2 linked regions of the Canis lupus familiaris genome follow. The protein of the gene in region 2 purifies or fractionates together with the protein of the main gene of each other region. This does not show direct contact. Links are inferred from orthologs where the notes say so. Each region holds a gene or a part of one and is shown on either strand. Other genes may lie near its edges.

Evidence for each region. The genes of interacting proteins can lie anywhere in the genome.
Region 1: the proteins of SNW1 (region 2) and CDK9 purify together in Homo sapiens (affinity purification with mass spectrometry; 4 studies listed by BioGRID and IntAct, with this or other methods). This does not show direct contact. The link is inferred for Canis lupus familiaris from reciprocal best matches to the Homo sapiens genes SNW1 and CDK9.

What each region holds. Positions count from the first base shown.
Region 1 is NC_049230.1:55,702,638-55,708,695, forward strand, and holds CDK9 (cyclin-dependent kinase 9), read right to left. Parts: upstream 4,620-6,058; 5' UTR 4,552-4,619; coding exon 4,460-4,551; intron 4,001-4,459; coding exon 3,919-4,000; intron 3,118-3,918; coding exon 3,027-3,117; intron 2,681-3,026; coding exon 2,514-2,680; intron 2,392-2,513; coding exon 2,220-2,391; intron 2,063-2,219; coding exon 1,914-2,062; intron 1,427-1,913; coding exon 1,061-1,426; 3' UTR 507-1,060; downstream 1-506. UniProt on the Homo sapiens protein: Protein kinase involved in the regulation of transcription.
Region 2 is NC_049229.1:50,825,638-50,833,283, reverse strand, and holds the start of SNW1 (SNW domain-containing protein 1), read left to right. Parts: upstream 1-2,630; 5' UTR 2,631-2,774; coding exon 2,775-2,788; exon of another isoform or gene 2,789-3,260; intron 3,261-7,326; coding exon 7,327-7,480; intron 7,481-7,646. UniProt on the Homo sapiens protein: Involved in pre-mRNA splicing as component of the spliceosome. As a component of the minor spliceosome, involved in the splicing of U12-type introns in pre-mRNAs.

The DNA of each region.
Region 1 (6,058 bases), on a different chromosome or scaffold from region 2:
TGCCTCCCCTTGGCCACCAACTACTCAGCAGCCTGAAGGACCTTTGCAAGTTACAGATCTAACTCTTGTCACTTTGATCGAGAGCCTTCTGCAGCCTTCTGTGCTCATGAGTCAAGGTTGAGCACTTCTGTCAGCCATGGGACATGGATTCACCATTGCAGATGCAGCTCACAGCAGGCCCTCCCCAGTTCCCTCTCTCTGGGGAACTAAGATCCTGCCTCATGTGTCTTTACTCTCCCTTGGACACCAAGTGGACAGGGAGAGCAAAAGAGCATCACAGCACCTGCTTTTGCAGGAGCATGACAACAGTGTTCTGGAAGGTACACACACACTCACACAAACCCTCCAACAGACAAAAGTACTCTGCAATTATGTCTGGGGACATGAACTGGGATGAAGAAAAGAGTCAAGACTTGACAAATCCAATCTCGATGGTTAGACCCAATGTGCCAGCTACAGGGTTAAGAGCTGGGGGGGTCTGAACACAGAACACAGCACATAGCCACTTACTGGAAAAAAAAAAAAAGTCAACTTTAATTATAACTGACCAAACTGCGTCCAGGAATGTCTCCAAACTGAACAAAAGAAACACGATAAAATTCTCTATTGAAGAAACCAAGTTTTTGCCAACCCCAGGCTTCTGAGGGTTGGGCCAAGAGTAGCCCATTCCTGAGGCTGCTTCTGTCCCCCACACAAGTTTCTCATCCCGAGAGGAGGGCTGGCAACAGGCAAGGGACCTGTCCCTTCCTCCCATCATGCTCAGAAAGTCACTGGTGGGGTGTGCCTCTCCTCCTATCCCATTCTTGCGTGAAAGTAAACGGAGAACCTTTGGGCATCATCTTGAAAGCCAGGGAACAAGGCGAGGGGCCTCAGCGCCCTCCTGGACTTTCAGCCAAAGCTTTGCTCCAGTCCGCTCAGCGGGCATTCCCAGTGCCCAGGGTGGGGAGTAAATGAAATAAGCACTAGAGAAAACTCAAATGCCCCACAATCTCCACAATGCAAGTCACAGAGCAGAAAAAGAAATGAAACTGCCCTAATGAAAAGCGTGGGCAGCCGGCCCTCAGAAGACACGCTCGAATTCCGTCTGGTTGGTGGTGGCAGGATTGCGGCTCTGGTTGGTGGATTGCTGGGTGATTTGACTGCCCTTCCGGCGTGGCGGCGCCAGATACTCGAACATGGACGTCAGGTGGGTAGAGAGCATGCCCTTGAGATCCGAGGGCATGGGGTCCGACCAGAAGAAGTCATGGTTGAGGGCGTCATCACTGTCGATGCGCTGTGCAGGATCCAGCACCAGCAACTTGTCGATGAGGTCCAGCGCGTAGGGGTCACGCACATAGGCCTTCAGCCTGTCCTTCACCTTCCGTTTCTGGCCCTTCACCAGGTCCAGCTTCTCAAAGAGCTCATACTTGTCCACATTGGGCCATACCTGGGCAGGAGGCACGGGAAGAAGACGGTCTTAATTCAGGGGGTGTGTGGCTTGTCCCCTGGTTAGGCACCCGAAGGGACTACAGCTTCTCCTTTCAGATGCTCCCAGACCACCCATGGAGGGTGAATTTGACCTCTCCAAGGTAGAAGCAGCAGTGACCACATGTCTGGCACACACCAAGCGCCAGGCCCTTTTACGTGGTCATCTGAAATATGTCCACCAAGCCTGATACAGGCATAGTTGTTTCACGGAAGAGAAACTCAGCTCCGAGGTGAGGGATGCAAACGCCCTCCCCAGGGCCATGAACTGTGATGGAAGTGAGACTCAAGCATAGCCCATGCGACTCTAAAGAGCAGCCCCTGTCCCTCCACCAGCCACCTCTCCAGAACTTTCCTGCTATTTCACTCCCCACTCCTCCCTTGCCAGGAGGACTTCTGGATCTCTGCGTCCTGTGGGGACCAGGGGCCCAGGCAGCCTGGCCACGCACCTCAGGGGTGATGGAGCCACAGAGCTGGCTGATGAGGGCAAGCTGGTGTTGCTCGGTGTTGCCCTGCATGATAGGGCTGCGGGTCCACATCTCGGCCATGATGCACCCAGCACCCCACAGGTCAATGGGGGGGCCGTAGTCCCGCTCCCCTGGGAAGAAGAGCGCACCAGGAGGGCCCCTTGAGCCCGAGGGCCTCCTGAGACGCAATGCCCCAGGGCCGGCGGCTCAAGAAGCCCTGGCAGTGGGGGACTGAGGCCGGGTAAGTGCCCAGCCCCTGCCCCACTCCGCCCGCTCGGGAGTCCTCACCGAGCAACAGCTCCGGAGGCCGGTACCAGAGCGTCACCACACGGTTGGTATAGCGATTGGGCTGGCTGTTCTTGGCCAGGCTGAAGGCCCGGGCCAGCCCAAAGTCGGCCAGCTTCAGAACCCCATCGCGAGTGATGAGCACATTAGCTGCCTTCATGTCCCTGTGCAGGATCTGCAGGAAGCGCAAGAGGGCTCAATCAGGTTTCCAAGGGGAACCCTCAGTCGCACCCACCCAGCGGTGGGAGCCGAGGCCCACCCCAGCCCGGGTCTCTCTTACCCCATGCTGACCCCCACCTTGTTTCTGTGGATATAGTAGAGGCCGTTGAGCAACATCTGCATGACCTTCTTGATCTCAGACAGTGTGAACTTGACCAAGACATTGCTCAGCAGCCCAGCAAGATCGTGCTCGCAGAAGTCAAACACTAGGTATATACTGCCTTTGCAGCGGTTATAGGGGGAAGCTGGGAGGGAAGAATGGGGGAGGAGTAAGAAAAAGAAAGTAAAAAACCCCACGTGCAACTCATTTCCCCACACAGCTTCTACCCCTCCAGCCCGTGGACACTGGGATATTCGGCTGTGCCTTCCTTCACTGGAAAACTATTTCCTGAGTGCCTCCTCTGGGCTGGGTGCTGTGGCAGGCCCTCGAGGAGCAACAGCTACGATGGAAGGACCCAAGAGCAGTCACAGTCGGTTTGTCTGGGTTAAGAAGAGGCAATTTAGGTGTGTCCACTTCCAACTTTGCAAAGCCTTAGGCAGTAAGCCTCATTTTCCCCATCTGTAAAGGGGGGCAGGAGCCAAAGAACCTACCTTTGGTTCGACAGATCTCAATTAAGTTGACCACATTCTCGTGTTTCAGAAGCTGGAGGATCTTGATTTCCCGCAAAGCCGTAATGGGGAACTGGGTAGGAGAAAGGCAAGAGGGGGCCTGAGGTGAGCGAGTCAACTATAGACCAATGAACAGACCAATGAACAACCGTGTGGTCCAGATCAAGGGGCACAGGTGCAGCAAACGAGTAAGGTCCCGGGCTCTGACATCATTTCAGATGTCTTAGCTGTAAAATGGGTGTAAAAATAGTATGTGCCCCTCAATGAGTTGCTCTGAGACAATGAACTGAAACAGTGGGACTTAATACCTACACACTTCACTACTCGTCACTAAATAAATGTTCCACAGTTTCTTCAATATTTAAGTTTTAGCTCTATACCTGTATTTAACTTACTAGGTGGAAACAAACAGCTATTTAAGGAAATGTCCTTGCTAAGCAGGTCTCTGGGAAGCTGGACTAGGGCTACAATGAGGCAAGGGAGGGGACTGCTCCTTTTCAACTGAGTACCAGCCACTCCCTTAAAACCACCAAGTGGAATTTCTTTCCGCCTTATGCAAAATGAATGCTAAGGAAACCGTGTTTAAAGGCTTCCTAACTTCAGGAACTAAGGCACACTCTGCAGGCATGAGCTCCCCCTCCTGGCCCCAACCGTATTTACCTAAGAGTGGGATATCAAAAGCTCTAAAACATTTGAATTAAAAAATTCAATTTGGAAGCCAAATTCCCCGAATACGGAAATTGCCTAACTACCCCCCCCCCCCCAACACACAGACACACAGGTTCTCCAGACGAGAGCCCTAGCAGAAGCAGGGTGGAAACCCAACCCCGAGCCCAGGGGAGCTGGCAGGCCCGCCCACCCGGCCCATACTCACCCCCTCCTTCTCGTTCTCCATCAGCACTTTCTTCAGAGCCACCTTTTTGCCGGTCTTACGGTGCTTTGCCTTAAATACCTCCCTGCAGGCCGAGAGGGAGACCCAAGAGGTTTTATCAGGCCGTTTCTGCAGGGCCCGCCCCTCCCCCACCAGAGGAGGGGGGCAGAAAAAAGGGATTCCCCGGGCGGGGCTGGGCCGGGGACCCAGGGCACTGCCCTACCTTGCCACCCGCTATCTGCGGAGCTTCGAGCCTCTACTTCCTCCCCTCAGTCTCCTCACTCAGGCGTCTCTCGGAGAGCCCGCTCCCACCACTGGCTCCTCTCCGTAACCCCTCCCCGCCCCCCATCACAGGCCTCAGGCTCCTCCCCGCCAGCCGGCTCGGTCAGGCCCAGGCGGGCCGCAGCGCGGCCTAGCAAAACCAGGGGACACGTCTGGCGCTCATGGCCTTCCCGACCACCTCGGGCCCGGCCCTGGGCATCGTGACGTCGGATTTGAGCGGTGCAGGCCCAGAGCGCCTGGTCCCCCGGGGGCGCAGCCTTACCCGAAGGTGCCTTGGCCGATCTTAGCGAGCTTCTCATATTTGGACACCTCATCACAAAAGGGACACTCCACCGAGTCGTACTGCTTTGCCATGGCCGCCTCCAGCGCGCCGCCGCCGCCGCCCCCAGCCGCCGCCGCCGCCGCTGCTCCCGCTCCGGGTCCCGCCGCCGTGCTCCAGGCCCCTCCGCGGCCGCGCCACTTCCGCCTCCACGGCCACTTCCGGCCTCGCGGCGCCGACCCCGCCTCTTCCGTCCGCCGCCCGCCGCCAGGCCCCCTGGGACTTGTAGTTCCCGGGAGGCCAGGAGCAGCCGGAGCTGCAGAGGCGCCTCCGCCGCCGCCGCTGCCCCCGCCTCCGCCGCCGCCACTGTTGGCGGCTGCCCCGATCGGGGGCGCGGGGAGCCGGGGCGCCGGGGCTGGGGCTCGGGGCGGTGCGTCCCGCTGCATCGGCCCGGGCCGCCGCTGCTGCCGGAGCCGCTGCCGCTCTGGCGCCCGATCCGGGGCCAGCCGCAGTGCCCTGCTCCTCCTCCTCCGACGGCGCCGCCTCCGCCGGGCTGCGCGGGGCGGCGAGCGGGGGGGTGGCCCCCGAGCCGCGGCCTGGGGTCTCCCTGGCCGGGCCCGGGCCCGGGGCGGCCGGGCAAGGGGGCGAGATGGGAAGAGCCGACGAGGAGGTGGCCCGAGAGCCCGGGAGGGGGCGCGTTATAAAGGGGGAGGTGCCCTGGCCTCGCCCTCCCCTCCCCCTCCGCCCGCCCCCCTCCCTCCTCCCTCCCACCCTCCGCGGCCGCACCTGCCGCCGCCGCCGCCGCCGCCGCCGCCGCCGCCGCCGCCGCCGCCCGCTGTCCGCCGGCCGCCCTCGGCGCGTCACCGCCCGCGGCCCCTCCTCCGCCTTCGGAGGTGGGGCCCCGAGCTCGACACCTGGCTGCGGAGCGCTTTGTCGCGTGCCTCAGTTTACCCCCCCATGCTAGCTGCCGCGGAGAGCCCTCTCCCCGGCTCGGAGTGCCCCTCCGCTGGGAAAGGCGGGAGGCGCCGAGGGAGCGGCCTCCGGTCCTGGGAGGAGAGAACGGCCCCCGCCGCCGCCTCCCCAGGCCCCAGCCGCCCGCCGTTGACATGGCAACCGACGGCCGCTAGGGGGCGCGGCGACACTGGAGACGGCGAGCGAGCAACGCCCGGGCCTTCCTGCCCTGGACCCCCAATTTTCTGGGAGGAAGGGATGAGACCCGCGGGAGCCCTATGCCCACCCAGCTGCGTCCGAGCGGGTCAGTCCCGGGTCAGTAATCACAAAAATGGCTAGCATTTGCTCAGAACTCCTGTGTGTTCAGGAATCGCTGGGCATTCCTGCTGAATCCTGCTGAATCCTCAATCAGGCGCCCCATGGGCAGGTTAACTAGCCCATTTTACAGAAGAGGGCATTGAGGTTCAGAGTGGTGAGGTCATTTGCCCAAGGTCACAGAGTGACAGCGCTGTGACTGGAACCTGGTCTGTCTGATTCTTTTTTTTTTTTTTTTTTTTAAAGATTTTATTTATTTATGATAGTCACAGAGAGAGAGAGAGAGAGGCAGAGACATAGGCAGAGGGAGAAGCAGGCTCCATGCACCGGGAGCCT
Region 2 (7,646 bases):
CACAAAAGCCACCAAACTGGTCTCCCTGTTCCCTTCCTTGTTTCTTGGAATCCATTTTCAACACAGCAGTCATAACAATCTTCTTAAAACACAAATCAGGTCACGTGTTTTCTCTGCTCAAAATCTCCAATGTGATTTCTACATACTGCAAAAGAGTGATCTCCCGAGATATAATAATAAGTGAAAAAAAGGAAGGTGAAGAAAAGTGTGTGTGGTATCTACCATTTGTCTGAGTAAGAGAAGCATAGAAATATATATGTATCTGTGTATATTTTTAAGTGAAAGGATAAACCATAAAAATTTTTTTCTAAGGTTTGTCTATAGGGAGAGGAGAGGAAGACAACAGAAGTGTCAGGGAAAGAATCTAGACTTCTCTAAATGTACTACCTATTTGGTAAATTTTGGCTTTGAAGCCATGCAACTGTTCCACAAAGCATTTTTTTTTAAATTTTATTTATTTATTCATGAGAGACACACAGAGAGACGCACAGACACAGGCAGAGGGAGGAGCAGGCTCCATGCAGGGAGCTCGACATGGGACTCAATCCCCGGTCTCCAGGACCACACCCTGGGCTGAAGGTGGAGCTAAACTGCTGAGCCACCTGGGCTGCCCACATAAAACATTTTTTTAAGCAACGCCTAAGAATCCAAAGCAAAAAGAAATAAACCTGACTATCAAATTAGTGGATCCCACAGAGAGGAACTACTGCAAGTCACGGTTTATTTATTTATTTTTAAGAAATCTCTACACCCAACATGGGGCTCAGCCTTACAACCCTGAGATCAAGAGTTGCGCGCTATACCAACTGAGCCAATCAGGTGCACCCCTCCCTAAATAACATTAAAGCAATGCAATTTAACTATACACACCTAGAGAGATATACTCTAAGGGCAAAAAGAATTATTTAAAAAAAAGCAGAAACTATTATCATTAAGCATATGTTTAGTAATCATTTTAGTAATGTTATTCTGAAACTATTTTATATATACAGTAGGGTAAAACAATTATGTTAATTTTGTTAATAAATTGTTATTGCCATATGTAATTATGTTAATGCCATTAGGCACCAAGATTTTCAGAAGAGATATGCATATAAAAATCAAAGTTAAGTAAAATCTGTGTAATCCTAAATTTGAGTTGAAAAATATTAATGTAAATGCATGGTGCATTTTCTCAAAAAATATGTGTGTATATCCAAATTTTTTAGTTCTGTTGACTAAAGAGGCTTACAAACAATAATCAACCCAGTAACAATGAATATTTATTTGTAGCATCCAGATTGTTTTCTCTAAAATATCGCTTTCCCACTTAAAGGAGGGCTTCTTGGAGAAATGACTGATTCCAAGTCATTCCAAATGACTTGGAATCAGTATATCTAGAAAAGTACTAGATGAATCTACAACATCTTGTCACACCAGAAATTTGAGTCACCCTGGGTAGTGGATTCTGCTTCTGCTGCTCAAAGTAGGGTGTTTGGTTCAGGACAATTCAAAGAGCTGTACACTTACGGTGTATGCATCTTTCTCTATGTGTCCCATACTACAACTAAAAATTTGTTATCTACTTTTTGTCGTGGAAGATGTCAAACGTGTTAGTATAATAAACATCCAATTCCCCATTATCCAGCTTCAACGGTGATCAGAAATGGCTATTCCCATTTCATCTATACTCCACCCACTTCCCTCTCTCCAATATTTGTAAGCAAATTTCATTTATCCTATCAGTTTGTCAAAGATTATGGTTAGGGGCTCAGTCCGTCAAACCTCTGCCTTCACCGCAGGTCATGGTCCCAGGTTCCTGGGATCTAGCCCAAGATCCAGCCCAGTGTGGGGCTCCCTGCTCAGGGAGAAACCTGCTTTTCTCTCTCCCCCAGTACCCACCCCCTATCTTGCTAGTTCTCTCTCTCAAATAAATAAATAGAATCTTTAAAAAAAAAAAAAAAAAGATTATGTCTTGGGACGCCTAGGTGGTTCAGCGGGTTGAGCATCTGCCTTTGGCTCAGGGCGTGATCCTGGAGACCCGGGATCGAGTCCCAAGTCCGGCTCCCTGCGTGGAGCCTGCTTCTCCCTCTGCCTGTGTCTCTGCCTCTCACTCCATGTCTCTCATGAATAAATAAATAAAATCTTAAAAAAAGATTATGTCTAATCCATAATCTACGTTAAACACATCGTCTAAACACGCACATACATAAAAGCATACATAATACACAAAAGAAGTGCTGTAAAGGCAACTTACCGAGGATCACACCAGACCTCCCCAGGACAGTGTTTTGGGGGTGGGGTGTGGAGGTAGGGGGCAGAGTTCAAAGAAAAGTTTCGAGTGTGAGTATTTTTGGAGCGTTCCCAAACTCTCCCTTCGACAGTCTCCCGATTTCCCATTGTTTTAAAACCCTGTCACCCTTTTATTTAACGTTGCCATTCCCAGGATACTCTTCTTGTGTTGGGGATGACTACACGGGGAATGAGACTGAGTGGGGAATAAAATAAAGCGGTTTAAAAGGCACCTCACCTCCGTTATTTTGGAAGAATAGGGAACGCCCTATTCCGTCACAGGGTACCAGCGATGCATCTGCCTTAACTGAAGCCTTAGTCTCATGATAACCGCGCGGTCGGCTTAGGACAGAATCGCACTCTCTTGTCCAAAGAACTACGAATCCCAGAAGGCCGTTCGGCCGAGGCGCCTGCGCATCGCGTGCTCCTTCCTTTCCCCTCCTCGTCCAGGGGAAAGACCCGCCCCGCGGTGCTGTCGCTCGCGCTGGAAGAAGCGGAAGAAGATGGCGCTCACCAGGTGGGTTGTTGATGGGGGTCCTCGATACGGAAGGGTCTGGGAGTACCCACGTTTTTTATTTCTCTGCCCACTGTCTCCGGGCGGTGACCTGGCGCGGGGCACAGAGCGACATGGGCTGGGACCGCGGCTAGGCCCTCCTGCAGGCCTCCGGGGCGACTAGGCCTCACGGAAGCTGGGGTCTTTCCTCAGCGGTTTCCCGGGTCGAGTTCGTCCCCTCACGAGGGCCGAGAGCCTTGGCGCGACAAATAGTTCTCCGGCCTCGGATGCCAAGGAGTCGCATCCCGGGGTTGTGGAGAGCGCTCCGAGCGTCCGGTCCGCGCCTCGGGCGGGCGCGGTGGGGATGTGGAGGGCAGTGGCTTATTTGTCTGGACGAAGTGAAGCGGCGGGAGCCGACGAGCCGGCTTTACCGCCGTGTGTCTGCCGAAGTCTCGTCTGTGCCCCGAAACCAGGATTCCTGAAGAAAAAAAAAAAAAAAAAAAAGATGTGAGGTGAGGGGCCCGGCACCGAACACAGATCTTTTTTTTTTTTTTTAATTGGCCACTGTCTACTAGTAATGAGCCGCTGCTCCGCACTTTTAACTTTGGACCTTAGAATTTCTTACGTAGATAGAACCACTTCAGATTTTTGCTGTTCTCGGTTGCCTTGGTAACCGCGTGTAAAGTGGTCCCCGCCTTTGGGGGGGGGGGGGGAGAGAGATTCCGAGGAGTTACATAACTCCTGCTAGTCCGCGACCTGCTGCCCCATCTGAGAAGAAAAACTTCCCGTATGCGGACGCAAGCAGGAAAAGTTGAGTTGTCAAAGATGCCTGTGAGGGAAATCGTTTTTGGGACATCGGCTTGAGCTCCCTAAACATGCTTGATTCTCCTCACGCTTCTTTTTCCTGGCTGATGGCAGTTATGGATCCCACAAAACGTTTTAATCAGAAAGTTTTTGGGGGGGAATTAATTTTGGGTGCCTTGCTCTCTCTATATCCTAGGGCCTGTGTGTATACACACACACATACACACAAAAAGCCACCTAACAGTCTTTGCAGGGAAGGTAGGGTCCAAGGCATACAGATACGGAAGAAAGAACAGCACAGAATGCTCACTTGTGTGGTAGTAACCTTAAGTGCAAAAAGAATTAGACTGAATAAGTTGGATGAACTAAGGAGTTCAATTTAGTAAGCAGCAAACATTTGAGTGCGCCTCCAGGTGGGAGGCACTGTGGCAAAGATTCCCAGGGTTGTGAGGGAAGGTATTTGTGGAAAAGGACACAGGGAAAATAACAGATCTTGTGGGTTATTGTGGGCTTAAAATTGCAGCGGCAGAATGCAGTCCTTAAATGGCTAGTCTTGGAGGCTACATAGTTTTCTGATTTCAGTGAGCTCTGGTTGATTTGATTGCAGGTGAAGTGTTACCTTATCTCCAAGACCTACCAAGGATTACTTAACGGCAGGGACTTAACATATTGATGTGTTGCAGTATTGGTGTCACCAGTTATTGTGACTAACTAAAGATTTGAGGTCATACTGATTTAGTCCTCTAAATGCAACTGTATTTGGGGTTATGTATCTAATAATATTACTTGCATTTAATATGCTTTATTTGGTAAAGGGGAAAGGGTAGACCAAGGTGTCTCAACAGTGGGCAGTCCCCGTGGCTCAGCGGTTTAGCACCGCTCAGCCCAGGGCGTGATCCTGGAGACTTGGGATCAAGTCCCATGTCCCGCTCCCTGCATGGAGCCTGCTTCTCCCTCTGCCTGTCTCTCTCTCTCTCTCTCTGTCTGTCTTGAATAAATAAAATCTTAAAAAAAATAAAAATAAAAGATGTCTCAACAGTGGCACTGTTGAGGTTTTGGACTGGATGATTCATTCTGGTGTGGGGCTGTCCTGTGTATAGTAGTAGGATGTTTAGCAGCATCTTTGGCCTCTATACATTAGATGCCAGAGGCACCTCCCTCCCCTTCACCCATTCCCTATCCCCTAAGTCTTGACAATCATGTCTCCAGACATTATCAAATACCTACATTGTAGTTATTTTGCCACCCAGTTGAGAACCACTGAGGTAGACTTTCTGCTTACATATACAGCCCACAGCCCACTATGTACCCCTTTCCCCTATCCTGCCACCACAGGAGTGTGCCTCTTGTGGGAATGTCATCTTTTACAAGGAAAAGCAAAATTAAGACCCTCTGGAAGGCTAGAGTATGTTCAGACCCTAATCCAGGCCAAGTTACTTGTTTACTGTATCGTCTGGACCCTTTGATTTGGCAGGCTGCCTGCCTTTGGATCATCTTAGTAATCAGTTCTTACAGCAGAAGGTAAAGAATAGAGAAAATAATAAGTATTTTGGCTTCTTTACACTATCTTTGTATCCTTCCTATGAATTGGGTATATGAGTTATACTGAATAGAATTATGGTAAAAGCCCAAAACTTTTGACTCCAGTCCTCCATCCATTCATTCATCATTCAACAAATACTTGTTGAAGATCTACCATGTGCCAGACACTGTGCTGGTTTTACAGTATTAAATCAGTGCTGGTTTTACAGTATTAAATCAGTCTGGCAAACTCCTTTATTTTCGAAGAGCTTACAGTCTAGGAAAGGCAAACTACTTATCTATCTGTATGTAAACAAATCAATAATGCAATATCAGGTAGTGATTAGGAATAAAATAAAGATAAAAGGACAGAGAATGACTCAAAATGTGGAGTGGGGTGGTGGTGTTTTGATTGAGATGGTCAGAAAACAGCTCTGGGGAGGTATAATTGAGCAGAGAAATCAATGCTAAGAAACAAGGACTAAAAGATCTAGGGTGGGGGCACCGGCTGTCTCAGTAGAGCATGAGACTTGATCTTGGGGTTGTAAATTCAAGCCCCATGTTGGATGTAGAAATTACTTAATAAATCTTTAAGAATGAATGAATGAGCGATGCCAGGGTGGCTCAGTGGTTGAGCATCTGCCTTTGGCTCACAGCATGATCCCAGTTGTGGGATCGAGTCCCACACCGGGCTCCCTGAGAGAAGCCTGCTTCTCCCTCTGCCTATGTCTCTGTGTCTCTCATGAATAAATAAATAAATAAAATATTTTTTTTTAAATTTTCTTAAGAGTTTACTGTAAAAGCACTGTAGGAAAGGATGTGCTGTGAGCTAGACAATGCCTAAAGAGTTAGGGATGAAAGAAGCTGAAAGCATGATTCCTGCAAGTTTCTGGTGAGAAAAAGAAAGGTAAATGAGTAGATAATTCTAAAACAGTAAGACAGATTATAATAGTGGTATATAGGGGGTCTTGTGGGAGCATGGTAGGTGCAACAAACCCAAATTGGGGGGAATTGTGGAACAGATCCAAATAATCAAGTATGTATTGAATAATATTTAGACACTGTGTGAAGGGGGTTCATCGATTTTCTCATTTAGTACTTAGAGCAACTCTGTGAGGTAGGTCATCTTTTGATCTGCCTCTACAGATGAGAAAACAGGTTCAGAGAGGTAGGTAACTTATCTGGGTTACTACCTTGCATAGGTAGGATTTGAACTCTGGGTTCTTATCCATCATAGTACCCAACTCTAGAATAGATCCCTCTTGTGTATAGCCCTCTGTATTTTTTCCTTCAGCTTTAATACAATTTGTGATTGTGGATTTGTATGAGTAATTGTCTCTCCTCTGCAAGACGTAACCGGTCTTTCTCAGTTTATAGTCTCACTGCCTACCTAGCACAGTACCTGCACCCAAGTGCTCAATAAATATTTTGAATAAATAAGTTCTGTTGCTTACTGAAATATGCTTACTAACCAAGAATTACAAAGAAACCTTAACTTTTCCATTAAATGTATTATTTATTACTGGAATCCTTTTGTGGTACTTTGGGATATCTCTGTAGTAACATTTATCACACTTCAAAGTTGCTAAGAATTGCTTGGTAGAAAGGCTGCTTTGATTAAAGAGTAACAAAGTACATATTTAGGATTTCTGCTTTGAATCTTTGACTTCCTAAGTTTTAAACTGCATTCTAAATTAGATACCTTTGGTAAAACACACTTAAATATGCAGTTTATATTTTCTTTCTTTTGTCCACCTCTTTGTTACATTCAGTGCTAATCCTTGTTTTTTTGTATTGATGCTAAAATAGTTAAAAGTAAGAAGCATAAGAGTAAAGCAGTTAAAAATAAGGAGTATGAAAGTAGGAAAGACACTAGTGCAACTGTATATTGGACAGTTGGCCACTGGTAACTGAGAATGTTTCCTTGTTATAAGAAAGGAAACGTAGAAGCATAAAAACTCAATAGTTTATTTATTATATGAAATACTTATTAATTTTTTATTTGGGCATCATTTGCCTGCATCCTAGTCAAACGTGTTTTACTGTATATCTCTGAGTACTTATTTCTTTCCAGACAAAATAAAATGACTGATATTTAATACTGCCATAAATCATTGACATGTTTGACCTGCTAAAGAGAAAAAAGTATTATGGTAAAATAGCCTCTGATGGCCAAATTGCAATGATCTAATGTGAGAATTTTTTACAATTCTGACTTTCATTATCTTTGCTTATAGCTTTTTACCTGCACCTACTCAGCTATCTCAGGACCAGCTTGAGGCTGAAGAAAAAGCAAGATCCCAGAGATCAAGACAGACCTCACTGGTCTCATCCCGAAGAGAACCTCCCCCATATGGGTACAGGAAAGGCTGGATACCTCGATTATTAGAGGTAAATAATTGTGCTAACACTTATTATAATACCCTTGTAAAATAAATTTAAACCATAGAACGTCTGCACATGAATGCCAATATGCTAGAAATCCTGGTGATGAGTTCCTAAGACATGTACTCCTCTTAGGGCATTGATCTTTTTCTTCTGGCTTAGTATCACTGCT